7 linked regions of the Oryctolagus cuniculus genome follow. The protein of the gene in region 7 interacts with the protein of the main gene of each other region in a pairwise test. Links are inferred from orthologs where the notes say so. Each region holds a gene or a part of one and is shown on either strand. Other genes may lie near its edges. The genes, in order: TTBK2, PDGFRB, NTAQ1, FLNA, TBC1D10C, INMT and KLHL12.

The links.
Region 1: the proteins of KLHL12 (region 7) and TTBK2 interact in binary tests that used the Homo sapiens proteins (3 or more experiments, as listed by UniProt). The two-hybrid records come from large-scale screens. The link is inferred for Oryctolagus cuniculus from reciprocal best matches to the Homo sapiens genes KLHL12 and TTBK2.
Region 2: the proteins of KLHL12 (region 7) and PDGFRB interact in binary tests that used the Homo sapiens proteins (3 or more experiments, as listed by UniProt). The two-hybrid records come from large-scale screens. The link is inferred for Oryctolagus cuniculus from reciprocal best matches to the Homo sapiens genes KLHL12 and PDGFRB.
Region 3: the proteins of KLHL12 (region 7) and NTAQ1 interact in binary tests that used the Homo sapiens proteins (3 or more experiments, as listed by UniProt). The two-hybrid records come from large-scale screens. The link is inferred for Oryctolagus cuniculus from reciprocal best matches to the Homo sapiens genes KLHL12 and NTAQ1.
Region 4: the proteins of KLHL12 (region 7) and FLNA interact in binary tests that used the Homo sapiens proteins (3 or more experiments, as listed by UniProt). The two-hybrid records come from large-scale screens. The link is inferred for Oryctolagus cuniculus from reciprocal best matches to the Homo sapiens genes KLHL12 and FLNA.
Region 5: the proteins of KLHL12 (region 7) and TBC1D10C interact in binary tests that used the Homo sapiens proteins (3 or more experiments, as listed by UniProt). The two-hybrid records come from large-scale screens. The link is inferred for Oryctolagus cuniculus from reciprocal best matches to the Homo sapiens genes KLHL12 and TBC1D10C.
Region 6: the proteins of KLHL12 (region 7) and INMT interact in binary tests that used the Homo sapiens proteins (3 or more experiments, as listed by UniProt). The two-hybrid records come from large-scale screens. The link is inferred for Oryctolagus cuniculus from reciprocal best matches to the Homo sapiens genes KLHL12 and INMT.

The regions. Positions count from the first base shown.
Region 1 is NC_091443.1:65,909,604-65,913,790, forward strand, and holds the start of TTBK2 (tau-tubulin kinase 2), read right to left. Parts: upstream 2,919-4,187; 5' UTR 2,835-2,918; coding exon 2,769-2,834; intron 2,484-2,768; exon of another isoform or gene 2,347-2,483; intron 1-2,346.
Region 2 is NC_091437.1:37,429,426-37,432,057, forward strand, and holds part of PDGFRB (platelet-derived growth factor receptor beta), read right to left. Parts: intron 2,386-2,632; coding exon 2,280-2,385; intron 1,553-2,279; coding exon 1,320-1,552; intron 174-1,319; coding exon 1-173. UniProt on the Homo sapiens protein: Tyrosine-protein kinase that acts as a cell-surface receptor for homodimeric PDGFB and PDGFD and for heterodimers formed by PDGFA and PDGFB, and plays an essential role in the regulation of embryonic development, cell proliferation, survival, differentiation, chemotaxis and migration.
Region 3 is NC_091437.1:149,148,849-149,152,584, reverse strand, and holds part of NTAQ1 (protein N-terminal glutamine amidohydrolase), read right to left. Parts: intron 819-3,736; exon of another isoform or gene 549-818; coding exon of another isoform or gene 495-548; intron 258-494; coding exon 109-257; intron 1-108. UniProt on the Homo sapiens protein: Mediates the side-chain deamidation of N-terminal glutamine residues to glutamate, an important step in N-end rule pathway of protein degradation.
Region 4 is NC_091453.1:132,577,967-132,581,702, forward strand, and holds part of FLNA (filamin-A), read right to left. Parts: coding exon 3,631-3,736; intron 3,545-3,630; coding exon 3,278-3,544; intron 3,131-3,277; coding exon 2,993-3,130; intron 2,765-2,992; coding exon 2,649-2,764; intron 2,109-2,648; coding exon 1,976-2,108; intron 1,199-1,975; coding exon 1,022-1,198; intron 850-1,021; coding exon 631-849; intron 548-630; coding exon 344-547; intron 138-343; coding exon 1-137. UniProt on the Homo sapiens protein: Promotes orthogonal branching of actin filaments and links actin filaments to membrane glycoproteins. Anchors various transmembrane proteins to the actin cytoskeleton and serves as a scaffold for a wide range of cytoplasmic signaling proteins.
Region 5 is NC_091432.1:4,643,820-4,648,215, reverse strand, and holds the start of TBC1D10C (carabin), read left to right. Parts: upstream 1-1,420; 5' UTR 1,421-1,496; exon of another isoform or gene 1,497-1,710; 5' UTR 1,711-1,745; coding exon 1,746-1,900; intron 1,901-2,575; coding exon 2,576-2,675; intron 2,676-2,753; coding exon 2,754-2,861; intron 2,862-2,941; coding exon 2,942-3,048; intron 3,049-3,194; coding exon 3,195-3,309; intron 3,310-3,725; coding exon 3,726-3,791; intron 3,792-3,893; coding exon 3,894-4,083; intron 4,084-4,396.
Region 6 is NC_091447.1:21,980,824-21,985,333, reverse strand, and holds the start of INMT (indolethylamine N-methyltransferase), read right to left. Parts: upstream 2,988-4,510; 5' UTR 2,973-2,987; coding exon 2,819-2,972; intron 1,514-2,818; coding exon 1,306-1,513; intron 1-1,305. UniProt on the Homo sapiens protein: Functions as a thioether S-methyltransferase and is active with a variety of thioethers and the corresponding selenium and tellurium compounds, including 3-methylthiopropionaldehyde, dimethyl selenide, dimethyl telluride, 2-methylthioethylamine, 2-methylthioethanol, methyl-n-propyl sulfide and diethyl sulfide.
Region 7 is NC_091444.1:18,666,198-18,670,675, forward strand, and holds the start of KLHL12 (kelch-like protein 12), read right to left. Parts: upstream 2,878-4,478; 5' UTR 2,822-2,877; coding exon 2,692-2,821; intron 1,417-2,691; coding exon 1,178-1,416; intron 1-1,177. UniProt on the Homo sapiens protein: Substrate-specific adapter of a BCR (BTB-CUL3-RBX1) E3 ubiquitin ligase complex that acts as a negative regulator of Wnt signaling pathway and ER-Golgi transport.

The sequences.
Region 1 (4,187 bases), on a different chromosome or scaffold from region 7:
TAGATTACAGTATACCTCAAATACCATCCAAGTATACACAATGAAACTTTTTTTTTCTTTTTAGATTTAAGAACAGCTATTCAGTGGCTGGCGCTGCAGCTCACTAGGCTAATCCTCCGCCTTGCGGCGCCGGCACACCGGGTTCTAGTACCAGTTGGGGCGCCGGATTCTGTCCCAGTTGCCCCTCTTCCAGGCCAGCCCTCTGCTGTGGCCAGGGAGTGCAGTGGAGGATGGCCCAAGTGCTTGGGCCCTGCACCCGCATGGGAGACCAGGAGAAGCACCTGGCTCCTGCCTTCGGATCAGCGCGGTGTGCCGGCCACAGCGCGCTGGCTGCGGCGGCCATTGGAGGGTGAACCAACGGTAAAGGAAGACCTTTCTCTCTGTCTCTCTCTCTCTCTCACTGTCCACTCTGCCTGTCAAAAAAAAAAAAAAAAAAAAAAAAAAAGAACAGCTATTCAGGGGCAGGGCTGTGGTGCAGCAGGTTAAGTTGCTGCCTGCAATGCCAGCATTCCCTATGAGCTCCAGTTCAAGTCCTGCTTTCTCCACTTCTGACCAGCTCCCTGCTAATTCACCTAGGAAAGCAGTGGAGGGGCCGGCGCTATGGCAAAGTGGGTTAACACCCTGGCCTGAAGCGCCGACCCCCGATATGGGCGCTGGTTCGAGTCCCAGCTGCTACACTTCCAGTCCAGCTCTTTGTCTCTGCTATGGCCTGGGAAAGCAATGGAAGATGGCCCAAGTCCTTGGGCCCCTGCACCCACGTGGGAGACCCCAAAGAAGCTCCTGGCTCCTGGCTTCAGATGTGTGCAGCTCCGGCTGTTGTGGCCAACTGGGGAGAGAACCAGCAGATGGAAGATCTCTCTCTCTCTCTGCCTCTCCTCTCTCTGTGTAACTCTGACTTTCAAATAAATAAATCTTAAAAAAAAAATTAAAAAGCAGTGGAAGATGGCACAAGTACTTGAACCCTTGCAATCCACATGGGGGACCTGGATGAAGTTATAGGCTGGTCCAAATGTGGCCCTTTGGGAAGTAAACCAGGGGATGGAAGACCACTCTCTTCCTCTCTCTGTAACACTGCCCTTCAAATAAATAAATACAATTTCAAAAAAATAAATAAATAAAAGCAATTTTCAACATTTGTCATATTACATTGTATTTACCACCATTACTGCTTCTTTAAAAAAAGGGGAGGAGGGGAAGCAACACACAGCACTCACTCTGCTCTATAAATCACTCCCCCTTTTCCCCAACTAAATAAATGCTACTCTATTCCGTTTGTCTGAAAGAAAAACAGCAGAAACATCTTCCTGGTCTACCTGGCAAATCAGTGTGCAGATACCAACGCAACTGTTATGAAGGGCTCAGAATCAACACTGTAAGAAAACAGAGTGGATCCTCGGTGTATATGACCTGGGCCCATTCACAGCCACACCCACACACACACCCAGGCACACACAGAGAATTTCTACTGAATAAGAAAACACCTTTACATCATTAAAAGGTTACAATAAAACTGTTCTCTTTAGTGTTCCTCCAAGAAGGAACAAATTTGTAAAGCTAGGTGAGAGAAGAGTTAATTCCAGTATTGCTGCCACCTATCAACTTTAATTCAAAGCAGAGTACAACTCAATGTCATTTTATCTCCAACGCAACCACGACTGAATCGAAATTAACTTCCCTGTAAGATAAAGTACCCTTGCACAACAACGGCTGATTTACTTCTCTGATTTGACAGTATGAATGTGTGGAGTCTTTTGTCCCTCCCACAGCATCCCACGGTGTCAACATCATCATCTTTGTCGAAGCAAGTGACGAACAAATCCCTCGGCTCATTACTTCAGCACCTAAGTACCAGAAAGTCCCGGGCCTTCCTCCTCATTGCAACACAGCAGACAAGACTCCCCGGTCCTATGCCCCCTTCCATGACAGTCGGGCGGGCTGGGAAAGGCGCACTGCTAATTCCTAAGAACCCTCGGTGCACCCAGGTTCCGGCACCCGGAGAGGAATGAGTCTCAGCGATATGTGGGTCACCCAGAGAGAGAAACAGAATCAAGCTTCATGACCCTCCAAGTTCGGCGAAGACACCCGAAGCCTCGGGGAGGGGGGAGACGCGGCAGGCGCCTTCGGGGAAATGGGGCAGAACCAGAACCGTCTCCGAGCTGGAAAGTGACTGGGTCTGGCAGAAGTCCGGGGCGTGGGCAGCGACCTACGAGCCCCGGGTGCCCTTCTCCTCCTCGCCAGGCGCGGCCACTCCGCTAGGGCTGCGGCCCGAGGAAGGGGGTCAGGATTGGGGGAGGGCGGGGCCGGGGCCACCCGGGGCGCCCTAGGGGTGCGGGGGGTGTGTCCTACCTGGGCCGTGGCGGACGCGGGGATTTCAGGCGGAGGGCTGGGGTCCAGCTCAGGGCCAGGACCGGCAGGGGACAACCCTCGGCAGGCGGGACCGTCGCCGCCTGCCCATCCCCCGCCGCCGACTGCGGCGGGACCTGAGCGCGGCTTCGAGGGCCGGCCGGTGGATTGTCCCCTCAGGTACCGTCCGCGCTTACTGGCGACGGCGGCGGCTGCTGCCGTTACTGCTGCTGCTGGCCGCCCCCAGCCGCTGCTCTTGTACCAGCCCCTGTTCCTCTTGCCGCCGCCGCCGCCGCCTAGTCCCCACCGCTCCCATCGCCGCTGCGGCGACTACTGCAGCGCCCGCTGACCCGACCCGACGTTATGCTCCCCCTTCGCAACCCGGCACAGCCTAGCCCACCTGCCCCGCCAGTGCGCACGCCCACCTCTCCGCCACAGGTGCTGATTGGAGAGTGCGTTCCGAGCCCGCAGCGTCGGTTGGCTGGTCCCATTGCCTATCACGGAGGGGGCGGAGAGTCGGGCAGGGAGCGTCTCCGCCCCCCACCGGAGAATTGCCGCTATCTTCAGGTTTGCCTGAGAGGGCGAGTTACCGGGAAAGGAGCATCACAATGGCAACGCGCATGCGCGCGGGGATTCTGGGCCTCGTAGTTCCAACCCCAGCCGCAACTGCCCGCCTGTCCCGAGGAGAGAGGCAGGGCTTCTGAGATGAATGATGGCCGCAGGAAGGTGTTCTCCCAGCTCAGTGATTAACTTAGAGAGGCGTGCATGTGACGCCACGATTGAGGTGTTGTTTTTTTGTTTTGTTTTGTTTTGTTTTGTTTTGACAGAAAACCGCGGCTGCTTCGTCACGCTATGAATTTACACACCGAGGCGGTTGCGGGGAAGGGCCCGGGATCGTGAGGCCGGGTCACAGGTTAAAGGAGCCATTTGCCTCCTCAGAGCCCGAGCCGCCGGGCTTGCCCGCAACGGCGCCACACGGAGCTCCCGCCGCGGGGGACCAGGGAAAGGCCTAGAGGAGTGAGGAGGAAAAGGGACGGAGACTTCCACCAAGGACGTCAGCCTTTGTGCCGCAGCGGTCTCTCAGCCCACGAAGAACAGAACTGCCTGCCCTGTTTGAAACACGGCCGCCAAGGATTCGGTCGAGAGCCGCGGGGCGGACTGCGTGGGATGCTAAGCGAGAGTGTGCGGGAGTCGCTCAAGATTTTGAAAGAAGAGCGAAGAGGGCGGAGCAGAGGTGCTGCGGGTTCCAGTTGCATTGCGTGTTGGTCGTGCCAGCCTCTCCGGTGAAGGAAAACCTTCCGACCCAGAGCTTCTGCCATCCCATCCTCACCCGCCGCTTTCAGAAGGGAAACCCCAGTTCAACAACTTTCCAGAAGCTCTAAAACTAATTCGCAGCAGACGCAAAACTCAAGTCTCTTAAACCCCTCGTGGGCAGTGCTTTTCCTCATAATACTCGCAGGACTCCCAGCGGTCTACGGTGTACAGAGCGCGTGCAGTGACGTATAAGCTCCATTTTACTTTAACAGTTAAAAGACAGAAACGAACAAGAGGCGTCATTAAAGCTAAATAAGAATATAGAAGGGTTTTTCCTCGCTTGGAAGTCCCCCTCCCTGATGGAGGTCTCTGACTCTGATAAATCTCGCTTTTAAATCTTAATATATATATATATATAAAATCGTATAGAAAGGTTAAATATAAATCCTATGTTCAGTCTCAGAACTGTTCTTACAAGAATCTTCTTCTTGGGGAAATGCCACACCTTCTTGACATTCTTAAAAAAAAAAAAAAAAAAAAAAAAAAAAAAAAAAAAAAACAGCAGGCGGCTGTGCTCTCTGTGGTGTCCA
Region 2 (2,632 bases), on a different chromosome or scaffold from region 7:
TGTCCTCCGCTTCCACCCGCAGCCCCAGGCAGCCTGGATCTGCCGGCTGCTCCTGCTCCGGCGGGGGCTCCTCCGGGGCCTCCACCTGTGCCTCGAGCTCTGCTTCTTCTTGGGGCTCCAGGGGGCTGTCACAGGAGATGGTGGAAGACGTGTTGGCCTCATTCAGGGTGGAGCTAGAGGAAGGAGGCGGGTGAGTGAGGGGGGGAGGGGACATGGGAACACGCAGGCGGCTCTCAGGACGAGCTGGCTGAGTGTCCCACTGGGCACGCTTTGGCTCCCATAGTCCTTGTAGAGACTATGCAAGGGCTGCACCGTGGAGGACCTGTGGCTCAGGGAAGTGATGTCCCCGGCCCAGGTGAGCGGAGGAGCCAGGACTTCCGAGCAGGTGCAGCTGACCCCAAAGTCCATTCCTCAGCCAGCGGCATCTACCCTCCTAAAGGACTGTGCTGTCTCTTAATCCTCCCACCAACCCCTACCTGAAGGGCTTTCACTGTGGTCATTTTACAGAAGAGGAACTGAAGTTCTGAGAGGTGGAGCCGATTGCATGAGGGCACAGAGCAAGGCCAGCATTCACAACCCCTGGCAGCTGAACTCTACAGTGACTCCTCTGTGTCGTCTCCCTGGAGCCTGAGGACGTTGGCTTCCTCCATGGGCACAGCCAAAATGACAAAGGGCCCGCACCGGCCTATGTGCACTCCCAGTGCCACGGGAGAAACCGAGGGTTGCAGGGGAGAAGCCTGCGCAGGTATCACAGCAGTGGTAACAGCCAGGGGCTGCCCCACTCACTCCACCCTGGGCTGGATCTCGTCTGGGGGTGGGTTTGGCCTCCTGGGCAGCCCCGATCTTCAGCCGAGGAGGATCCTGTCTCAACAGCATTCCCAGGCCACAGCCAGGGCTGTCCCACACGGCAGCCTCACTGCATCCCAAGGCGAGACGAAAACCACCAGCCTCCTTCCTGGCCTGAGTTCTGGCCTGAACTGCTGTGGGTGCCTCTACAGCCACGCTGGGCTCCCAGGGCTGAAGGACAGACCACAGACCTGAGACTGGCCATGACCCTGTCCTTGGGGCTACGACAGGGCCCAGAGAGGGGAGGGTACCCAGGGCCTCTTAAAAGGCAGGGCTCACAAATGATCCCCAGCCCCTCCTTCTATGACTGGTCTTTGCCTCACACCTGACGTCATCCCAGGTCAGTCCTGTTTACTCATAGGAATGAGTACTCGGCCATGGCACCCGCAGCCAGCTCAGCCCCAGGCAGACAGACAGACACAAACACACACACACACACACTTACACACACACCATGCACGCTGTACAGCTACCTGGCAAGGCTGGGGGAGCCCTCCAGGGGGCCCTCATCAGCAACCTCGGGCTTGGGGTCAGGCAGGGGGATGATGTAGTCGTTGTCGCCCTCGTTGGGCTGCACGGCCGTGTAGAGGACAGAGCCGGTGTCCAGGGGAGATCGGAGGCCGTGGAACCCAGGGAAGCGGGCTTGGGACCGGAGGATGGCCGGGTGGTCACTCCTGAGAAACTCCTCATCCACCTGCTGGTACTTCTGCTCCGCCAGGCATGGGGGGAACCAGAGAAACAGAGATGGCTTCAGGGACCAGCTGAGCAAGTCGGGCCACGGAGGGGCTCAGGGAAGAACGGGGTTTGCTAAGCCGCCCCGCCCACTGAGGGAGGGGGCGGAGGCAGCGCAGCCCGAGTGCCTCACCCCTCCCCACTGCGGAGCCAGCAGGTTAGTGCTCTCCTCCTGCCCCCATTGCCCCCAGGGGCCCTCGCCATGGGGAGGCGATGACTCTACAACGTCTCCCTGGTCCCTGGGAGCGCCGCCGGGCATGGGCACGGGGTGAGAGCCAGACCTCGGGAAAGGCCGTGTCTGCACCTCCCCGCCTCTCCCTGGTTCCTGCTGCGGGACGGGGCAGCGTTTTAGGGTCCTTGCGGCTCTGTGTGCCTTGGGGCAGCCTGAGACAGGGTTGCTGTGGTCCTAGAGCCCCAGATCTGGCCTGGGTGCAGAGGCCTGGGAAGGCAGCAGGACCCCAGGGCTGCGGCCCCGCCCTGTGCCGAGTAGTCAGCGTCCCCATAGGAGCCCACTGGAGAGCTCTGAGCCACCAAAAAGGCAGGCTCATCGCTGCAGCCCAGGTCTGCCCAGCAGCAGCAGAGAAACGGAGGCCCAGAGAGGGCTATGGGGGTTTCCTCCAAACAGCAGCACCGCATGCAGAGCCCCGAATCGGGGGCCAACTTCTGCATCACAACTCTGCCCCCACCCTGCCTCATTTTACCTTTTTGTAACCCTCGCCCAGCAGCCTCTCGAGAAGCAGCACGAGTTGGGAGAAAGGGGGCCGAATCTCAAACTTCTCTTCCCAGCACTTCTGCATAATCTCGTAGCTGGGGAGAGAGGCAGAGTGGCTCAGGGTCTTGGGTTTGGGGCCCAGGGGAGCTGGAGCCTGGCATCTCTGGAAACACAGCAGCCAGGCAAGGGGGCTGGGAGGGTGTCGGACAGGTGCTGCCTCCCATCACGGCCTTGGCCTTCCCTCCCAGCACCCCTAATCCATCTGCCACACGCTGGGGAGCCCATGACCCAGGTTTGGCCCAGAGGAGCTGCCGCCCCTCTGCTCGATGGTGGGCTGTGGAT
Region 3 (3,736 bases), on a different chromosome or scaffold from region 7:
TGCCAAGACAAGTGATCTTTATAAAAAAAAATAAAATAATAACCTTAGCATGATCCCAGTGTCTTACTTCAGAAAGTATGTACGTAAATCCAAGCCGAATCTCCTCACCTCCTGAACTGTGGGTGAATGTCATCATCAGACTTAAAGGCATCTTCTACGTAAGTGTCAAAGGGACAGGGAAAGGGCAGGACAGTATCAAGGTCATAGATGAAGCTCTGTCCTCCACTTGACACATGGAGCAAAACAACGTGGTAATCCTAGGAAGAAAAGCACATCTGGGTGGTGAATGCCAAGGCCCCTTAATGCACATTAAAAAAAAAAAAAGGTTACAAGTACAACACTAATACAACCCTCCTTAAAACAGCAAAATACAATAAAGCAAACACAAAACCCTAAAAACAGACTAAAAGTCCAGTGTCTGGGAAGGTGGTCAAATAAACGATGGAAATGGTTACAGACATTAACTGTATACCCTTTTGACCCGGCAACTTCACCTCTAGGAAACTATTCCACCGAAAAATGGCCATGAGCGCGTGAAGTGTAAACATGAAGAAACTCTCCGCGGCACTGTTTATAATTTTGAAAAGTCCAGGAGCCTATCAAGCAGCGAACGCTGAGTAAACTGTGTCACAGCCGTATAATCAAATACCACGCAGATGATAAAAGACATCAGTACATTTATGTGGAAAATGCAAAAATGTCAGGGCCAGCGTTGTGGCATAGTGGATTACACTGCCGGCTGCAACGCCAACATTCCATATGGACGGTGGTTCAAGTCTTGGCTGCTCTACTTCCCATCCAGCTCTCTGCTAGTGTACCTGGAAAAGCAGAAGATGGTTCAAGTACTTGAGTCCCTGCGCCCACACAGAAGACCTAGAAGAAGCTCCTGGCTAGCCCTGGCTATTGGGCCCATTTGGGGAGTGAACCATTGGGGCCATTTGGGGATAGAAGACTTTCTCTCACTCCCTCTATCCCTTCCTCCCTCCCTCCCTGCAACTACACCTTTCAAGGAAATAATTAAATCTTTTTTTTTTTAATGCAAAAATGTCCATGTCATTGGGACCAGTGTTGTGGCACAGTGAGTAAAGCAACCACCTGTGGCGCCAGTATCCCATATGGATGCCAGTTCAAGTCCTAGCTGCTTTGCTTCCCATCCAACTCCCTGCATATGGCCTGGGAAAGCAGTGAAGGATGGCCCAAGTCCTTGGGCCCCTGCACCCATGTGGGAGACCTGGAAGAAGCTCCTGGCTCCTGGCCTTGGCCTGGCCAGCCCCAGACATTGTGGTCATTTGGGGAGTCAACCAGTGGATGGAAGACTTCTCTGTCTCTCCCTCTCCCTCTCTCTCTCTAACTCTGCTTTTCAAATAAATAAAAAATAAATCTTAAAAAAAAATTCCATGTATATAGCTGGACAGACGAAGCAAAGTGCAGAATATCAACACATTTTTTTTTTTTAAGATTTATGTGTTTGTTTGAAAGATACAGTTACAGAGAGGCAGAGGTAGAGAAGGAGAGAAGCCTTCCATCCGCTGGCTCACTCCTCAAATGGTCACAATGGCTGGAGCTGGGCCAATTCAAAGCCAGGAGCCAGGAGCTTACTCCAGGTCTCCTACAAGGGTGCAGGTGCCTAAGGACTTAAGCCATCTTCTACTGCTTTCCAAGGCCATAGCAGAGAGCTGGATCAGAAGTAGAGTAGCATGGGACTCGAACTAGTGCCCATATGGGACACTGGCACTGCAGGTAGCAGCTTTACCTGCTACTCCACAGCACTGGCCCCCTGCTTTATTTTTTGTAAGCCATGTGCATATAAGGACACACATTTGATTCAGAAGTACATATGCATGCATGAGTACAGAGGAAGTGTGTAAGGATCTCCTCTGAACAATTAACAAAGGGGACTTCTTGTCTATTTATTATTTGAGAAACAAAGACAGAGAGAACTCTCATCTATTTGTTTACTTTCCAAATGCCCATAACAACCACCGAGGCTGGGCCAAGCCAAAGCTGGAAGCTGGGAACTCAACTCAGGTCTCCCACAAGGGTGGCAGGAACCCAACTGCTTAAGCCACCCACAGTCTGCATTAGCAGGAAGTCAGAGTCAGAACCAGAGCCAGGTATCAAACCCAAGGACTCCCATGTGGGATGCAGGCATCTTACCTGACAGCTTAACCACTACCCCAAAAACCTCAAAGGGGACGACTTGAGAAGCTAGCCTGGAGAGGAAATCAGGATGTAACTTTTCAGTTCTGTGCTATTTTCCTAATTAAAAGGGGAAAAATTGAACAACAGCCGAGCTGCAATCTGTAGGCATTAGGGTAAGGTTAAGGACAGCCTCTCCTGCTCAGCCCCACAGCATGGACACACTCTCTCTCTCTCACCAGCGCAGCCGAGGGCTGAAGGGGACCTCCAGTTATCAAGGGACATGAGGGCAGTCTGCTGCTTTGGTTCCTGAGGGGTAAAATGCTCTCACAGGCAGCAGTATGATAAAACACACGCTCTACCGACCGTCTTCCGCTTCCACAGCACATAGCTCAGAGTTTACAAAGCCCGTTACTGCATCTCGGCCCATTCGACCCCTGGGAAGTGGAAAAGGCAACGAGACTGGAACTGCTGAGTCATAAGAGCGAGGGCTTTGCTTGTCTCCAACTCTGTCTTGGGAAGGCAGAAACAGACACTCTCTGTGCTCCTGCTCAGTGACTCACAGCTGCTCCCCTAACAGTCCTCCATTCCCTTCCATGGGCCTTGCTCATGGTACTCCATCCCCTGCAGCAACCTGCCCGGCCTCCCTCTGCCACACAGGCTCCAGCTCAAAAGCTTTCTCCCCCAGGAATCCACTTGGGAACTTCTACCCCTGCCAGAAGTCATCTCTGCCTTAGCTCACTTCAGACTCTCATTATAACTTATTTTTAAGTACTTGCTCCTTATTAATAATAGGAAACTGTGCTGCTGAAACATAGACACAAAGATAAAAATTACAAGTTCTTACCTGCAAGGCGTTCCTGGAGAAGTGAGTGGGAATCCCAAGTGTATAGTACAGAGTGAATAAGAGACAGAACAGGGAACCTTGTAGGCAAGGGCAGGCAAGTACCTGGTTCAAATCTCAACCCCTCCACTTCCCAGGCTCACAAGTGGAGATAGAAGGAGAGTCTGCGTCACAATGTAACTGGAGAATAACTCTGTAAACAGCTGGCCTTTTTAAAAGCCAACCAAAGGGCCGGCACAGCGGCTCACCAGGCTAATCCTCCGCCTTGCGGCGCCGGCACACTGGGTTCTGGTCCCAGTCGGGGCACCGGATTCTGTCCTGGTTGCCCCTCTTCCAGGCCGGCTCTCTGCTGTGGCCCGGGAGTGCAGTGGAGGATGGCCCAAGTCCTTGGGCCCTGCACCCCATGGGAGACCAGGATAAGTACCTGGCTCCTGGCTTCAGATCAGCGCGGTGCGCCAGCCGCAGCGCGTGGGATGCGGCAGCCATTGGAGGGTGAACCAACGGCAAAAGGAAGACCTTTCTCTCTGTCTCTCTCTCTCTCACTGTCCACTCTGCCTGTCAAAAAAATAAATAAATAAATAAATAATTTAAAAAAGCCAACCAAGGGGGGAGCGGCACTGTGGCACAGCAGGTTAAAACCCTGGCTTGTAGCAAAGGCATCCCATATAGGTGCCAGTTTGGGTCCTGGCTGCTCCACTTTTGATCCAGCTCTCTGCTATGGCCTGGGAAAGCAGTAGATAGCCCAAGTCCTTG
Region 4 (3,736 bases), on a different chromosome or scaffold from region 7:
CTTGACCACCAGCGTGTACTCCCCCTTGTCCTTGAGCAGGTAGGAGACGCTGTAGAGCCGGCTGCCCACGTGCTTCACCAGGATCTCCTCGCAGGGCGTCCTCGGGCCGTGAACCCCGACCAGCAGCATGTTGTTGCCTGAGGTAGGGATGGGCCTCGGTCACGGGCCCCGCTGCTGACCGCGCCCAGCCCTCCTCCCCGTCTCCCTCCCTGCCTGAGTGGCAGGGGCCGCTCCAGCCGCTGCTCCCGGCCAGCCCTTTCCTCTCCTGAGGGTAGAGAAGGCGGGGGCCCGGGGCTGGCCGTCCCGTGTCCTCGGGGAGGCCGGGGCGGCCCCAGCTGCCCACCTGCTTTGCTGCAGTCCACCGTGAAGCTGCTCTTCTGGCCTGCGTAGGCCTTGCTCAGCCCCAGGCCCTTGGCCACCACTTTGCTGGCATCGGCAAGGCCTGGGCCCGCGGCGGCGTGCTGGGGGGCGCCCGTGGCCTTGGTCAGGGAGTCCACAAACACTGAGGACGTCTCGTGGAGGCTGTGGTTGCTGACGAGACGGGGGCCTGCAGGGCACAGCGGGTGGGGCTGAGAGGGGGTGCGAGCGCCTGGCGTCGGGTGGCCACCAGCAGCCTGGCCGTAGGCTCACCTGTGACTTTGGCCTTGAAGGGGCTGCCCCCAATGTGGTAGGGCCCGCCGTACTTGATGGAGATGAGGTAGCTGCCGGGCGCCATGGGAGTGTAGGTGACGCGGTAGCCCTCGGGGCACTCCTGGCAATCCATCTTCACCTTGGAGGGCCCGTCGATGGTCACCGAGAGGGCACCGGCTCCCGCGTTGGTCGTGTTCACAATAAACTCAGCCGGGCTCCCTGTGAGCACGGGAGGTCAGGCAGAGCCGGCCCGGCCTGGTGACCCCGTCCTGTCCCGCCCCCAGCTGCCGGGCCTGTGCTGTCCCCCCACCCCGGCCGTCCACCCCAGACGTCGCCGGGAGCTCGGCCCTGGCAGCCTCAGCCACGCCCAGAGCTGCAGCCGAGGACCCACCTGTGACGCCGCCTTCCAGGCCCGCTCCGTAGGCGGACACCATGCCTGGGTCCCCTCCGTGCCCAGGCTCCCCCACTCGGATCTTGAAGGGGCTTCCAGGGATGTGGGTGCCGTTGAACTTGACGTCAATCAGGTAGATCCCATTCTCCCGTGGGATGAAGCGCACGGCATACTTATCTGAGGAGCAGAAGGGCACGCTGCGGGCCTGGGGGTTCTGTCACCAGCATGTAGCCTCCGAGAGGACAGCCTCGGTCCTGGCCTGCCCCGTCCTCCCCCCACACCCTTAGCCCGCGTCCCCTCCGCTTCCTCTGGGGCCCTGCTGGGCGCCCACACCCGGCAGCACACACCTGCAGAAGGCTGAGGGCGGAGGCTCTAGACACCCAAGCAGCCTGCCATCGAGGCTCAGAGGCACGGAAATCGTCCACCGGCCAAACAGCCGCCTCATCTCACGGCCGGCCTCCCCTGAACGGCTACCGTGAGTGCCACACTCCCCGCCCGTGAACCGGGGCTCATGGACGGGCCGGAACTTGCTTCGGGTCAGGCAGCCGGCAAGGGGCAGGACTGCGCGGTGACACTGGTGTGCTTGAGCCTACTGCAGGTGCCATGCGCCTGGCGAAGGGCCCGGCAGCCCTGTGGCTACACTGGGGGCCGTCCCTCTGCAGACACACCGCGTCGCGCTGCCCCACGAAAGGCCTTCTTCCCAGTGGCCGTGGCTGGCGAGCTCATGGCCGAGGCCTTGGGCCACCGGTCGGGGAGGGCTCCCCTGTCCCCTGATCGAGGGGGCCCTGCAGCCGTCGGGGGGCCCCGTGCTGGGCGCCAACAGAAAGTCTGTACCTTCCTCACGTACTCTCAGCCTGCTTCCAGCCGGCTGGCCGGGCTTTGGGGAGGCCCGCTGCCCCCGCTGGGGCCCGTGCAGGTAGGTGGCCGGGTGGCCGGACAGGGACAGGGCCTCACCTTGGTCAATCTCTGTGACATAGCACTCCTCCAGGGCTCCCGAGGGGCTGTGCACCTTGGCATCAATCGCCCCCTTGGCCCCGTTCAGGCTGACTGCAAAAGAGGCTGGCTGGTTGACCTTTAGCCCTGACTCCTGGAAGCACAGCAGACGAGGTTAGATGGGGTGGCGGGGACCGGGCACGGGGCCGGTACATGGCCCCAGAGTTGGGAGGCCCCAGGGCTCACACTTACCCATCTGGCGTCCAACTTGGTTTAAAGAGGGAGAGCCACTGATATGCTAGGGGCAGCAAGCTTCAGACATAGGTTCCCCCACCACACTACCCCACCCCTCCCCCACCGCCCAGACCCCTGAAGTCACAGGGCCCCCACAGCTGGAAGGACAGTGGCCCCACCCTGGCAGGCTTTCCCTCTTTAAACCTCAGCCCTGGTGCTCAAGGGGCACAGGCTCCTGTTCAAAGCCTTTAGACCTGAGACACGAGAAAAACTCCACGCGGTGGGCAGGGTGCTTCCTGCCAACCCCAAGTGCGGGTTGGACCCGGCCAGAGCAGGGGCCCGGGGCCCAGAGCTGGGCCGGCTGGGTTACTGGGCACAGAACCCTGGCCTGTGCTTCGCGGTGCCTCTGGTCTGGCCGGGCCCAGGAGCCCCAGGTGGCCAGTTTCTCTCAGTGCCTCACCTGAAGACTAGAAACAGTAAGGCGGCGGGCATCGCCGGACGGAGAAGCCACAGGCACCACGAAAGGACTGTCAGGGATGTGCTCCTCGTTGAACTTGACCGACACCTCGTAGTCACCTGGCAGGGAGAGGACACGAGGCTATCCTGGGCCAGCCCAGGCCAGGCACGATGGGAGGTCTGGCTCCTCGGAGGCTGGGCCTCCTGCCTGCCCCACCAACAGCCCGGGGCGGGGCGTTCTGAGGCTTCGAGGCAGGTGGAGGGTGGTGGGGGCCCCAGGGTGGTGGGGAAGACAACCCCGGCTCCCTCCCTGAGGACCTGCTCCAGCCCCGGCCAGGCCCCCGGTACCTGGCTCCTGGACCACGTAGGCCACACCACATGAGCCGTCCTTGCGGTCCTCAAAGGAGATCTCGGCCTTGCTGGGGCCCTCGACGGCGATGGCCAGGCCCCCGGCGCCAGCTTCCCTGGTCCAGATGCTGAATTCGGCTGTGGAGAGCGGTATTTCCTCCTGGAGGGTTGCGCCTCTGCCCTCAGCCCCTCGCCATGGCCCCGATGGCGTGGCTGCCGGCAGCCTCCCCCCCACTGCCCCCGGGCACCCAGAAGAGCAAGAGCTGGGTGGGCAAGCGGGCCTACCTGGCACTCCGGCTTCAGCCCTCTCCAGGCCAGGGCCCCCAGCACGAACCTTGTGGGCTCCTCCTTCCCCCAGGGGCCCCACGGTGAACTGGAAGGGGCTTCCAGGCACGTGCTGGCCCTTGTACTTGACACTGACTGTGTGCGTGCCCATCTCAGCAGGCACAAAGCGGATACAGTAGGTGTGGTTCTCGCCTTCCACGATCTCGGCCTCGTGGCTCTTGCCCGAGGGGCTGGTCACCTGTGCGGTCATGTCCTGGATGCTGATTTCTGCAGGGAGGAGGTGGCCCGGTGGGTAGGAGGTCTGTGCCCCCACCTGCTCCCAGCAGCCCTCCCTGGCTCCCCACAGCCCCTACCAGGGATCTTGAGGCTGAGGTCGCAGTGACTGCCAACGTTGGCCACCGAGGGGGCCCGCCGCCTGCGTGTGATGCTCTCTTTCACCCGGCCCTCGCCTGTCACTTT
Region 5 (4,396 bases), on a different chromosome or scaffold from region 7:
GGGCCTGCGCGGGGGAGGGGCCGGCGGGGGGCTCACCGCAGATCTTGAGGGGCGCCTCCAGCTCCAGCAGAATGGGCTGGCTCAGGAAGATCTCCCGGGATTTGAGGCACAGACCACGGATCTCGTTCTCCGTCAGCTGCACATTCTTTCCGGGCCGCGAGCCCTGCACTGGGGGGCGGGGGGAGGGGGCTGAGCACCCGGCCCCCGAGCCAGGAGCAGGTGGGCGACACGAGTGGCTCTCCGCGGGCACCTGCGGGGCCGCCGGGGACCCTCCCGGCCGCGGGGGCTGCGGGGGCTGCGGCGCCTGCCCTGGCCGCCGCCTCAGGCCTCCCAGGACCAGAAAGACCCCCACCACCCTCGAGGCCCTCCCAGGGGGCCGTCGCCCAAAGCCCGAGGGCGCACGGGTTCTCCCCTCAGCCCAGGAGCCGGGCCCAGCGGCGAGCTCGCGGGCCGCCTCCGCCCAGCCCGAGCTGGTCCGGGAGGGGCCGGCTCGTCCGCGCGCCACTTCCGGGCCTGGCGGGGCCCGGGGCGCGGCGGTGGGCACGGCCGCCCCGCCACCCCCGCCAACCTTCCAGCAGGCGCCCGATGATAGAGTCCAGGTTGAGCTTCTCGCTGTCGGACATGGCGGCGCCGCCGCTCGGGCCCAGCAGCTCCGGGCCCACTCCTGCCTCCCGCCCGCCCGCAGCCTCCTTCCGGCCTGGCGCTGCTTCCGCCCGCCCCGGGCCGCCCCCGGCCCAGGCCCCGCCCCGCCCGGCCCAGGCCCCGCCCCGCCCCGGGCCAGGCCCCGCCCCTCCACGCTCTGGCGCCGCCGCTGGACGAGGAGCGCGGCGGCGCGGGGCGGGGCCTGGCCTAGGAGCTGGGGGGCGGGGCTTTCGGGGCGGGGCCGAGCCGGGTTCCACCCCCGCGGCACCGCCCAGCCCGTTTCAGAGGCTGGGGGACCGGAAGGACCGTGGAAGTTGTTTTTCTCTCGCACGGGCCGGGCGGCCTGGGCGGCCGGGTGGTGTGAGCACGTGAAGACCCGTCTGCCCAGACGCTGCGGTCACGCTCTGCCAGTGCATACAAGGGAACCGAGTCCCGGGGCTGGCGGGTGACCCCCAGGCAGCTGACCAGCCCCAGGACATCCGCGCGTCCCTCGCTCGGGATGCTCCACGCTGTCCTGTGCATGCTAAGTGCACTTTTTACTAAGTCCCGCAATGACCTTTCCAGGGGCGAAATAGTATCCCATAGGGTGCAGGTGGTGACGGGCAAACGCGACAGCAGCCGCGGTCCTCACTGGCACCCCGAGCTTGCCACCCAGGTGGCCTGGCGCCGTCGCACGCAGCACAGGAACCCGAGGCCGCCGCCGGGGAGGGGAGGAGCTGGTGGCTCAGGGGCGCTGCGGGGGCAGGAAGAGCTCGGAGAGGAAGGGGTGACCCCCCCCTTGGGAGGGGCCCCCAGCGGGTTGCTGAGGCTGTGAGGAGGAAGTGGGAGGAGGAGGTGAGGGGTGAGGTGCAGCGGTAGGTGAGCAGGGCGCCTCGGGCCGGGGCCGGTGGGTTCGGGGTCTGGGTGCCAAGGCCTGGCCCTCCTGTCATTTCACAGCCTGGCTGCTCTCCCCCCACGCCCGTGAAAGGACACGGGGGCTTGGCGGGATGCCCTGAGACCTGTCCCTTCTGACCCGGGCACCGGGAGGGCGGGGAGCGGCCCCCTCACAGTGGCTCTCCACGCCCGCAGCTGGCCGCAGCCCGTGGCCTGGAGGGTCTCGCACCATGGCCCGGGCCCTGGGGGAGGAGCTGCTGCAGACCTCCGAGCTGCAGGAGGACTCCAGCTCCCTGGGGTCCGACTCGGAGCTGAGTGGGCCCGGCCCATATCGCCAGGCCGATCGCTATGGCTTCATTGGGGGCTGCTCGGCGGAGGAGCCCGGGTGAGTGAGGCGGGGCTGGGCGGCAGGGGGTCGGGGCTGAGGGTGGGGCGGGGGCGGAGTTCTTGAGGGAGACCCTGCTTTGGGAGGGTCTGGCGTGGGGACTGGACACTGGGGACTCGGCCAGTGTCACCGTCCCCAGGCGCCAGGTGGAGTCCTACTGATGTGGAATCACCCGGGTGGGGGTGGCTCTGTCTGTCTCTTTCGCCCCCACCCCGGAGACTAAACATCCTTCCCCTTTTAATCGTGGGCCCTGGAATCCCAGCTCCGAATCCCAACTTCGCCTGCTACCAGCCCTTCCTGTACAGACAGGAAAACAAGTTCAGAGACAGACAGAAACTTGCCCCAGGGCACACAGCACAGCCGACACTCAGGACTCCTGGTGTCCAGTGCGGGACACCGTCCGACCAGCTGCCTGGGGATCGTCCACGTCCCTGTCCCCGGAGGCAGCCGACCAGGCTCCCCGCCCCACAAACACCCACTCACCCCATCATTCTGCTCTGCCCTGGCCCTGTGACAACCGCTGGTAGCCTCTGGGACACAGCTCACTCTGGGGGCTTTCTGGGGATCTCCAGGGCCACTAACGGGCCTCACCCGGGCGGCCAGCAGGGGTGGGGGACAGGTGTGGCCCGAGGGGACGGCTGCCCGGCGCCTGACACCTGTGTCCCGTGCCCCCAGGACGGGCCAGCCCCCGGCAGGCCTGATCCGGCAGCGGGAGATGCAGTGGGTGGAGCTGACGCAGCACTGGGAGAAGACCATGTCCCGCCGGTACAAGAAGGTGAGGGGTGCCCTTGCCGCCAGCCCGCTGCTGTGCTCGGGCCGCGGGGATGGCCCTCACCGCCCGCCTCGCCCGCAGGTGAAACTCCAGTGTCGCAAGGGCATCCCTTCGGCCCTGCGGGCCCGCTGCTGGCCCCTGTTGTGCGGGGCCCACGTGCGTCAGAGCGGCAGCCCCGGCACCTACCAGGTGAGGGCGCGGCAGGCCCACCTCCCCCCGGGGGGCTGCGCCACACAGAGCCCTCACGCCCGCCTTCCTGCCCGCCACAGGAGCTGGCAGAGGCCCCCGGGGACCCGCAGTGGCTGGAGACCATTGGCAGGGACCTGCACCGCCAGTTCCCCCTGCACGAGATGTTTGTGTCCCCCCAGGGTCATGGGTACGAGGCAAGGGGTGCCCAGGGACCTGGTGGGACCTTCGGCCCGGTCGCCCCGATCTACCGCTGCTGCCGTGTGTCCCAGGGCACCTGGGGGAGGGTGGGAAGGGGTGCCCGGGGGCTGGCCCTGATGGGGTCTCCTGGCACAGGCAGCAGGGGCTCCTGCAGGTGCTCAAGGCCTACACCCTGTACCGGCCCGACCAGGGCTACTGCCAAGCCCAGGGCCCCGTGGCCGCCGTGCTGCTCATGCACCTGCCCCCGGAGGTGAGTGGCCGGCGACCCAGGACTCTGACCCCCAACCCCAGGGACCTGGCCATCCTGAACTCCGGGCCCATGACCCCAAATCCCAAGTAACACTGGCCTTGGGGACATGGTGTCCTGGGGACCCAGGGCCTCAGGACCACTGACCTCATGACTCTCAAGACCCCAGGGACTTGGGACCCCCGACCCCAGCCCTTACTCCAGTGACCTCGGTAGGGGTCTGGTGCGGCTACCTTGACCTCATGACTCCTGATTCTGAATCCCATGGCCGTGACCCCTGACCCCAGGAACCCAGGGACCGTCCAGCCCAACACCCCGAGCCCTGTTTCTCGCGCCTCTGTCTCGGGCAGAGGCTCTCAGGCACCGGGCAGGGGGGGCCGCACCCCTTTCCCAGCCCCCTCCTGTGCCCGCCCCTCCAGGAGGCCTTCTGGTGCCTGGTGCAGATCTGTGAGGTCTACCTCCCCGGCTACTACGGGCCCCACATGGTGAGAGGCTGGGCATGGCGGGGCGGGGGGCAGCAGCCCAGGGGCCCGGGGCAGCGGTGGTGCGGGTGGCGCCAGGCTGCGGGCTGACGGCCGTGGCCGCAGGAGGCCGTGCGGCTGGACGCCGAGGTGTTCTCCTCCCTGCTGCGGCGGCTGCTCCCGCGTGTGCACAAGCACCTGCAGCAGGTGGGCGTGGGGCCCCTGCTGTACCTGCCCGAGTGGTTCCTGTGCCTCTTCGCCCGCTCGCTGCCCTTCCCCACGGTGCTGCGCGTCTGGGACACCTTCCTCAGCGAGGGTGAGTGGGGCGGCCCGTGGCCAGGCGGGCGGGAGGCTTGGGGCGGGGAGGGTGTGCCTGGGGAGGAAGCCAGCTCATCAGCTCGGACTTCTCCCTCTCCAGGCCCTCCTGGGGCCCGGGATGGGGGGGCCGAAGGTGGTGCCCGGCCTGGTGCGGGAGAAAGGGCCCCCCCGCTCCTGGCCCTGGCTCATTGCAGTCAGGGAGGCGTCTCGGGGGAGGTGGCTGGGTGGGAGCTGGAGCTGTGTGCCTCGGAGACCAGGCGAGGCTGCGGCATGGGTGGGAGAAGGCAGGGCTCCGCTCTCTGGGGAGACCT
Region 6 (4,510 bases), on a different chromosome or scaffold from region 7:
GGATGGATGTTGGATGAGTGGGTGGATGGGTGGATGGATGGATGAGTGGATGGGTGACGGATGGATGGATGGAAGTGTGGGTGGGTGGGTGGATGGATGGATGGGTGATGGATGGATGGATGGGTGGGTAGGTGGATGGGTGATGGATAGATGTGTGGGTGGGTGGATGGATGGGTGGGTGGATGGATGGATGGATGATGGATGGATGGATGGATGGAAGTGTGGGTGGGTGGATGGATGGATGGGTGATGGATGGATGGATGGGTGGGTGGGTGGATGGATGGGTGGGTTGGATGGATGGGTGAGGATGGATGGAAGTGTGGGTGGGTGGATGGATGGATGGGTGGGTTGGATGGATGGGTGATGGATGGATGGATGGGTTGGTGGGTGGATGGATGGGTGGGTGGATGGATGGATGGGTGGGTGGGTGGATGGGTGATGGATAGATGGGTGGGTGGGTGGATGGATGGGTGGGTTGGATGGATGGGTGATGGATGGAAGTGTGGGTGGGTGGATGGGTGGGTTGGATGGATGGGTGATGGATGGATGGGTGATGGATGGATGGGTGGGTGGGTGGGTGGATGGATGGGTGGGTTGGATGGATGGATGGGTGAGGATGGATGGAAGTGTGGGTGGGTGGATGGATGGATGAATGGATGACATAGCTGTAGGCCACATGTGGATGTTGCTATAATGTTGAGTGGTGAAAAGCAAAGCCCAGAAGATAACCCAGAGCAAATTACTCTGATAGAACATCCTGAGGAGAATAAAACTAAGGAACAGGCTGCTTAAGCATAGAGATGTGATGAGAATTATTTTTAAGATGCCAAGGAATAACAAATAGATAATTCACCTAAGTGATTGCCTCAGTGTGGGAAGGCAAGGGAGAGGGAGAAGCTTAGATAAGTCGGGCCTGGTGGTGGCTGTGTCACATGTAATGCAGCCCCAATAGGAGTGAGTGGTAGAGGAAGACGAGAAGATGGGAAAGTGGGTAGATGGATGGGTGGACGGATGGTTACACAGAGTACAGGAACGCATGTAGGTAGATGATTGGTGGAAGGCAGGCAGGCAGGCTCCCGGTATGTGGCCTTTACTAAGCTGTATCACATTTGAACACAGTCCCACGGCCCTAGGCTGCCGGGTCCATCTACCCTGACCCTACCCCTAGAGCATCTGGTCCCATCCGTGAGCTTCCAGCCATCCCTGCGATACAAGGGGCCACTGAGAGGCCAGAGAGTCCTCTGCAGAAGGGGGCTGATGTCCAGCCTGTAGGGACCCTGCCCCAGTACCCTAACCACTACCTACCTGTTCCCTTCTAGCTCACAGGCGAACTTCAGCGCCGGAGTCCAGTCATAGGCCCCAGGCTCCTTCTTCAGCCACTTGGCCAGCTCCTCCCGGTTGCGGTCAGTGAAGTCGGAGAGAGTGATGTCTTTGAAGGACTCGCAGGCAGCGAGGACTTGATAGATGGTGGGGCCCGAGCCGATGTCAATCAGTGTGTCCCCTTGGAGGCCGCCTGTGAGAGGAAAAGGGGTCTCAGCGATAGACGAGGAGACCTAAGACAGAAGATGAGGGGGACACACACCCTGGTCTTGCCGTCCGGGGAAGAGACTCGAGCATGGCACTTTGGCACTTATCATGGCTGGGCAGCCTCCTGTCGGCCAAGCCCCACGCCTAATGTCTCATACGCATTCATTTACACTTACACCTCAGAACCTCCCTGCAGATCAACCACCATGGTTATTTCCATTTTACAGATTTGAAAACTGAGGCTGACAAAGGTTACAATGAGCCCAGCATCTTCTAGCCAGCACATGAGCATCTTGCTCCCCAGAGACCAGGAGCTCCAGGCCCTGCACTGGGGGACAACCAGGCTGGAGTGCTCCAAGCATCCATCCTGGGGAACAGTGGCCCCTCAAGATGCAGGCTAATGGGGGCTGAGGCATGTCCAGGCCTGAGCAGGCAGGCTCCTGGAAAGAGGACCAGGACCAGGAAGCGGAGACTGAGGGGGCGGCAAGTTGGGAAGACCCCAAGGGTGAGTTGAGGGTTGCCTGGCAGCTGGAATGAGGTCCCTCTGCAGGCTGGGTTTGAGCTCCCTGCTGGAGGGTCCACACGCAGCCAGGCTGTGCTGTGGTTCCTGCCTCCCCCACCTGGCTCCAGCAGGCTCTCAGCCCCTGCTTCCCCCACCACCAGGAGACTCAGCCTCGCTGCTCCCCAGTCCAGCACCCAAAGGGAGGACGCGGCTGTGCACGCTGGGAGGGCAGGACCGAGTCGCTGGGCCCCCACGATGAGGGACAGGGGTTAGTGCAGGAGGCAGGTAGAGATGGGCCAGTCAAGGCCCCTGGGCCTGCAGGCCAGGCCAGCAGGCTTGCAGCAGGGCGGGGAGCCCACCCAGCATTGCCGACTCCCCAGCCGGGCTTCTCCAGGCCATGGGCAGAGCCAGGTGAAGGCTGTGCACTGCAGGGCTGGGGCTACCCGTACCCCACCACAATCCCACTGTTTGCTCTTGGCCTCCACAGAGCCTCGGGGGCCTGGCTGTGCAGGGACAATGCTGGACTTGAGTCTTCCCGGTCCCACCCTGAAGATCAGGGACCCATGGAGAGCAGCTTGGGGACCGCTAGGTGCTGTGCCCTGCCCACTGTGTGCCCTGATTTGCGGCAGGCAGACAACCAGCAACCCAGCACCCAGAGAGGGCAGTGGCCTGCAGCTCTCCCCACTCCACTGCACCCTGTAGCCCCTAGAGGGGCGGAGGTGCCCTGGGACACATTCTCGCCGCCCCCCACCCCCACCCCGGGCCCTGCAGAGAAGAGGGGAGGCTCACCAGGGCCGAAGGTCTTGTGCAAACACTCCAGGTTAAATTTGAGCATCTCCGCCTCAGGCGAGGGGCCGCTCTGGAAGCTGTAGTAGGTGTTCAGGTAGTCCCTGGGCAGGAAGTGCTTCTGGTACTCATCACCCCCCGTGAAGCCGCCCTCCATGGTGGTCCTGGGTACACCCTCGCCTGCCTGTCCCGCTCTTATGAGGGCTCCCAAGCTCCAGACTCCGCCCCCAGAGTCCCAGCCTCATCTCCTGGCTCCTCCTACATCCACTGGTCCTGGAGTTTTCCCTTTGCGGGGATGCACGAGGAGACCCAGGGACCCTCACTCAATTCCTCTGAACCCAGAGCCATGGCAGCCGGGGCTGCAGGCACCCTGGCTCTGCTTCCCTTAGGGACTGACCCACATCATCAGTGAAGCAAGTGAAAGTGGCCAGCCCTGAGTTCCACTCTCACTGCAGGGTGAGCTGGGGCAGGGGTCAGACCCCTAGCGTCCCACCCACGTACCCACAGCACAGGCTGTGAGGACCAGATCAGCCTCCTGGGCACAGGTGTGGTGGGCCTGGGTAGACAGGGAGATCCCCAGCTGGTCCCCTAGTGGTCAGTGGGGCGCAGCGGGTGTCTGAGCACACCAGCCCAGGGGAGCACGGGAGGAGGAGGGCCCGGCACACAGAGCAGGACTGCTGACTCAGCAATGCAGGCAGAGTATCCTCCACTGGTGTCCGTGAATGAGCACAAGGAGGCCAATCAGAAAGCATAAACAGTCAAGGTTATTTGTGGCTGACCCATCATGTGATCCTGGGTAAGTCAATCGCTCAGGCCTCAGTGTTCTTCCCTCTAAAATGGGCACAGGTCGTTAAAAACCTCCCACAAATAGAGAAAAGCCTGGTCTCCTTTTTGGTACCAGGAAATGACTTTCACTTGGCCGCCAACCAGACAGAAATGAATCTGCTGCCCTGGAGGTCCCAGCTGCCGCCCTGGAAGTGGAAAGGACAAGAATATCTTGTTCTGCTTTAAGTAAACAAACAGCCCCACAGCCGCAGCCTGGGCCCCGGGCCGACTGGGCCCCAGTCACTCACCCCGGGTCCCAGGGTGGAAAACTGCAGTGCTGGCGTTACATAATTGGAGGAGGGTTTGGTCAAAGGACAGCGCTAAACACCGGGTGGGCAGGGCTGTGGGAGGGGAAGCCGCCAGGAGTCTGCAGCAGTCAGAGCTGTCCAAAGAAACAGAACCATATGCCGGCCACAGAGAGGGCAAGAGATGGAGGAGGAGGACCCGGCTCCCGCCGCGAGGGGGCTGCAGGCTGGAGTCGTTGCGGCTCCAGTCCAGGGGCCATCTGCCTGCAGGATCCCCACTGTCATGGAGACCATCAGGCTTGGGCTGGCTGGGTGAGGGACATTTGCATTATGGAAGGGAACCTGTCCTACTTTAAGTCCTCTGGTTTCTTTTTTTTTTTTTTTTTTTTTTGATAGGCAGAGTTAGACAGTGAGAGAGAGAGACAGAGAAAAAGGTCTTCCTTTACCGTTGGTTCACCCTCCAATGGCCGCCATGGCCAGCGCACTGTGGCCGGCGCACTGTGCTGATCCGAAGCCAGGAGCCAGATGCTTCTCCTGGTCTCCCATGCAGGTGCAGAGCCCAAGGACTTGGGCCATCCTCCACTGCACTCCCGGGCCATAGCGGAGAGCTGGACTAGAGGAGGGG
Region 7 (4,478 bases):
CAAGGGGGAGTTTCTGGCTTCTGGCTTTGACTGTTGCAGGCATTTGGGGAATGAACCAGTGGATGGTTCTCTTTCTCCTTCTCTCCCCCTCTCTGTTGCTCTACCTTTCATGTAGATAAAAATAAACATTTAAAAATAAATGAAAATAGATTATAAACATATATCAGAAGCTGGGGAGGCATAGTAGTCAAAAATTGTTTGGGGAGGGGCCCGAGCTGTGGCATAGTAAGTTAGGCCTCCACCTGCAGTGCCAGCATCCCATATGGATGCTGGTTTGGAATCCCAGCTGCTCCACTTCCAGTCCAGCTCCTCCTAGTGGTCTGGGAAGGCAGTAGAAGATGGCCCAAGTGCTGGGGTCCCTGCATCCACAAGGGAGACCTGGAAGAAGCTACTTGCTTCAGATCGGCCCAGCTCCAGCAGTTGTGGTCAAGTTTGGGGAGTGAAACAGCAGATGGAAAACCTCTCTCTGTCTCTCCCTCTCTCTCTCTCTGTAACTTTGCCTCTCAAATAATTAAAAAAAAAATTAAAGCTTAGAAAAATGTGAAGGCAAATTTTATAGCTGGGGGCCAGTGCTGTGGCGTAGCAGGTAAAGCCACCGCCTGCAGTGCTGACATCCCATCCAGGCACCAGTGCTCCACTTTCCATCCAGCTCTCTGCTGTGGCCCAGGAAAGCAGTGGAAGATGGCCCAAGTCCTTGGGCCCCTGCACCCACGTGGGAGACCCGGGAGAAGCTATCAGCTTCGGATCGGGTGCAGCTCCGGCCATTGTGGCCATCTGGGGAGTGAACCAGCGGATGGAGGACCTCTCTCTTTGCCTCTGCCTTTCCTCCTCTCTCCGTGTAACTCTGACTTTCAAATAAATAAATAAGTCAATCTCTAAAAACAAACCAACACAAAGTCAATAACGTCTCATTACCCACTAAGCTGTCCTAAGCACTTGACACGTAATTTTCTGTCTTCGCCACAGCCTTGCGTGACGCACTGGGCAGCACTATTATCTCTAACTCAGAGGTGAGAAAACGAAGGCACAGGCATGTGCGGATCTCACTGTGAATAAGCCTGCCTGCTTACACAGCGTCTTACAAGACTCCACTACCATATGAAGCTTGGGTTGTCTTCCTCGGTGAGGCGAGGCGAGGCGCTTACAGGCATGGGCTGCACGGGTGCGGCCTGCTTACCTCGCTGGTGAACATGGCGCAGAAGTAGTCGCTGCAGGCAGCCAGCACGATCCGGTGGGCGGGGAAGTCTTTCTGCTCCACTCTCAGCGTCACGTCGCAGAGGGTGCTGCTCTTCCTGAGGGCGTTCATCGAGTTGAGGATGGATTTAGCATGCGTGTTGGTCATTATGTCTTTGGGGGCCATCCTGCCTCCCATCAAGCAATATGGAGAAAGAACAGAGGGGGCCCTGGGTCCTGGAACTGCAAGAGAAGGCAACAGAGGCACACAGGCCATCAGCTTCCCAGACGGGGGCTGAGACCTCTGCAGGCACAGACGCCCACAGGGACAGCCCCTGCGCTCTCTGGGCTCACCGCCATCTGGCCGCTAACTCTTCTAGCTTAAGGAGCAGCCCTGCTTCCTCTCAAGTCCTCTGTCATGAGTGTCCCTGCCACCTGCAATTTATTATAATCGGTGCTCAACTGTATTCTAAACAGAAAGGCCTATGTATCTTCATGGGATTGTCTCAAGTGATAAAAAGGTAAAATCCCTTAAAGGTGTGACATCATGGCTATTTAATATTCATAAGAGAATAAGTATTCAGAGGGTGGGTTCTTGGTTCATATGGACCCTAGCAGGTACACAATTAAAATTTAACAATTAAATATAAGAAAAACAGTGTATTCAACTTAGAACAAGAAAGGCTAGTATTGGTGAAAATGAACTGGTTTCCAAAGAAATACAAGATGCAAAGAATTATGCATCAGGATTTCCAAATATAATTACATTTCTTCTGAAAGTGAAATTTCAAACGACAACCTGGGACCTGCTTTGAATAGCAGAGACCACGCAAGCCATCTGTGGTCTCCCCAGAGTCGTCAAAACTCCTCAGTAGGAGTCTTCCTGTTCTACACGATTGGGAACGTCCACCAATGCTAACACATCAATATTCACAGCACTTCTTCTATACTCAGAGAACTTGTCAGGATAGAAACCTAAAATCCCTCTACTGCCAACTTCACCGCCATCGCTGCCGTGGCCTGTTACAAGTCAGCCCTCTGTCCCATGGCTCCCCACCCACACCGTCAACCAACTGCAGATAGAACTATTTGAGAAAAAAAAATCATGGGTATTATACATGCACACGGTTTTTCCCTTGACATTATTGCCTAAGCAGAGTATCAAAACCACTTACACAGCAGTTACAATGCATTAGGTAGGCTGCATGCAAACACAGCGTTCTACAGGAGACCTGAGTGCCAGCCTATCTGGTATCTGTGGCAGCTCCTGGCACCAATGCGCTGCAGACACCAAGGGACGGCTGTGCCCCAAAGTTCACTTGTGCGCATCAGCTCAGTGATTCCCTACCTAACAGCAACTTAAGGAACAGGTGCTAGTTCACAGCCTTTTTTTCTCCTTTGGCTTCAGGCACAATTTCTGGGAGTGAAATGGGGGGTGGTCATTAAGAGAGTACATCTTACTGGGAATCCAAAACTTTCAAAAATAATCCAAGAAATTAAAAAAAGTTCGCAACTCACGGTCAGGATGTTTGAGGAGCAAAAACAAGACCCCAAACTCATCTACTTCTGTCCATGGTCCGCACATCACTCTACAGGATCCACCCAGCGACTGTGCCACAGGCACTTTGCACACCAGGCGGTGATTCATCAGAGCGAGCGTCCTGCACAAAGGTCTTCCTTCGCTCAACCGAGGGCCACCCTGGGATGCAAGGGTCCGAAGGACCTCGCGCGGGGACAGCGGCCCCCCCAGGCAGCCTCAGCACAGCCTCACCCTTACCTTTCGGAAGGGCCCTATTCTAGAACCTCCGATCACACCTGAACACGGGGGTTCCACCACGGCAGGTTGGGGGCGGGGCCGGGGTGTCCACTCCTGGTAAGGGTCAGTTCCCGAGAAGGAAGGAAGGTCTTCGCCGCGGACCACGCCGGGCGCTAGGCTGGCACCGCCTGGCAGAGGTAGCGGAGGGGCGCGGGTCGCCGGGTGCCGCAGGCCAGAAGCCCCCCCGCCTTCCTCCTCGGAGGGAGCCCCAGGAATGGGGGAAGGGCCACCACCTTACGAAGGCAGGGGCTACCTGCCGCCACCTCCGGTCCACTCACCTCGGCTCCCGGGCCCAGCGGCCGCGCCGAGCCCGGCCACAGTCCCTGGGGACGGGGCGGGGAGCGGGGCGAGCAGGCGGCTCAGCAGGAGCCGGAGCGCCGCCGCCGCCCCCGCTCGGAGGCTCTGGGGCCGTCACCGTGGGCGTCCCGGCTCCGGTCCCCGCGGCCGCGCGACGTGATGACGTAATGCCAAGCGAGGCCCGCCCCCCTCCTCCCCTGGGTCGGCATCACGTGAGGCGTCGTCGTCACCTGACCCGCATGTGCCCGGGGCTGGCTTCGGCCAGCAGCAGGAGAGGGGGCGCCCGGGGAGGGGATCGCGCAGGCGTCCAGCTCTGTGATGCGCTGAAACCGAGTTTCTTTCTGCCCGCAGCCCACGAGGCAGGCCCCACGGGGAGCGTTCCCAGGGCTTCTAGGCGAAGGCGCTGACTGCAGGGGCTCCGTTTTACCTGCCAGGGATTCGGGTACTGCCTGTCATCCAGGAAACCCAGAGACACTGCAACTGTCTCAAAATCCACGGTCCACAGTGGCGGCCTCGCGCCGACTAGTGCTGTGGCGAGAACCCCGAGACCTCGGGCGTTCTCTGCGTCACAGTGGGGCTTGCGAGGGTCTCGGAGCAGCCCTGCCGGACCTGTCTGCCGTCCCCGGGGGTGCAGGGAGGGGGCGGCTAGGCCTTCTGCTTCTTCTTGACTTGGACGCATTGTTAGGGGCCGGGGCTCCTCAGTTCCACCTAAGTCAGTGCCCACACTGCTTTCCTGTGCGCGGCCTCTGATGCCTAAGGTTGGTGATACCCCAGCACGGTGGGCGGCTGCTACTTTGCTTGGTGTCTCTGTCTTCCATAAGCAATCTTCCCACCCGAAGACTCCCTGGTTTACACATTGTGGTTGGAAGTGCAAGGCTGGGGCAAGTTCTGCGGAGTTTTGGAAGTCATCACAGGTATGAATGCAGATACCCTTTGGCTGCGCAATTGTTTATCAACGTATCCGCCATGTATACTGTATGCGGCAGTGTTGTGTGTAGATGAAAAACCCTCAACGTGCATTAGGAGGGCTGATTCAGTAAGGTGTGCATTCAACCCTGCACCATGCTGTTGTGAGCAGCAGGTGTCGTCTTGCTATTATTTGTATCAAAACGTGAGAAGATACATTCAATTATATTCGATCGTATGTGTATAAAAGAAACAAAGTATAAAACAAAATGGTAACATTGTTTTT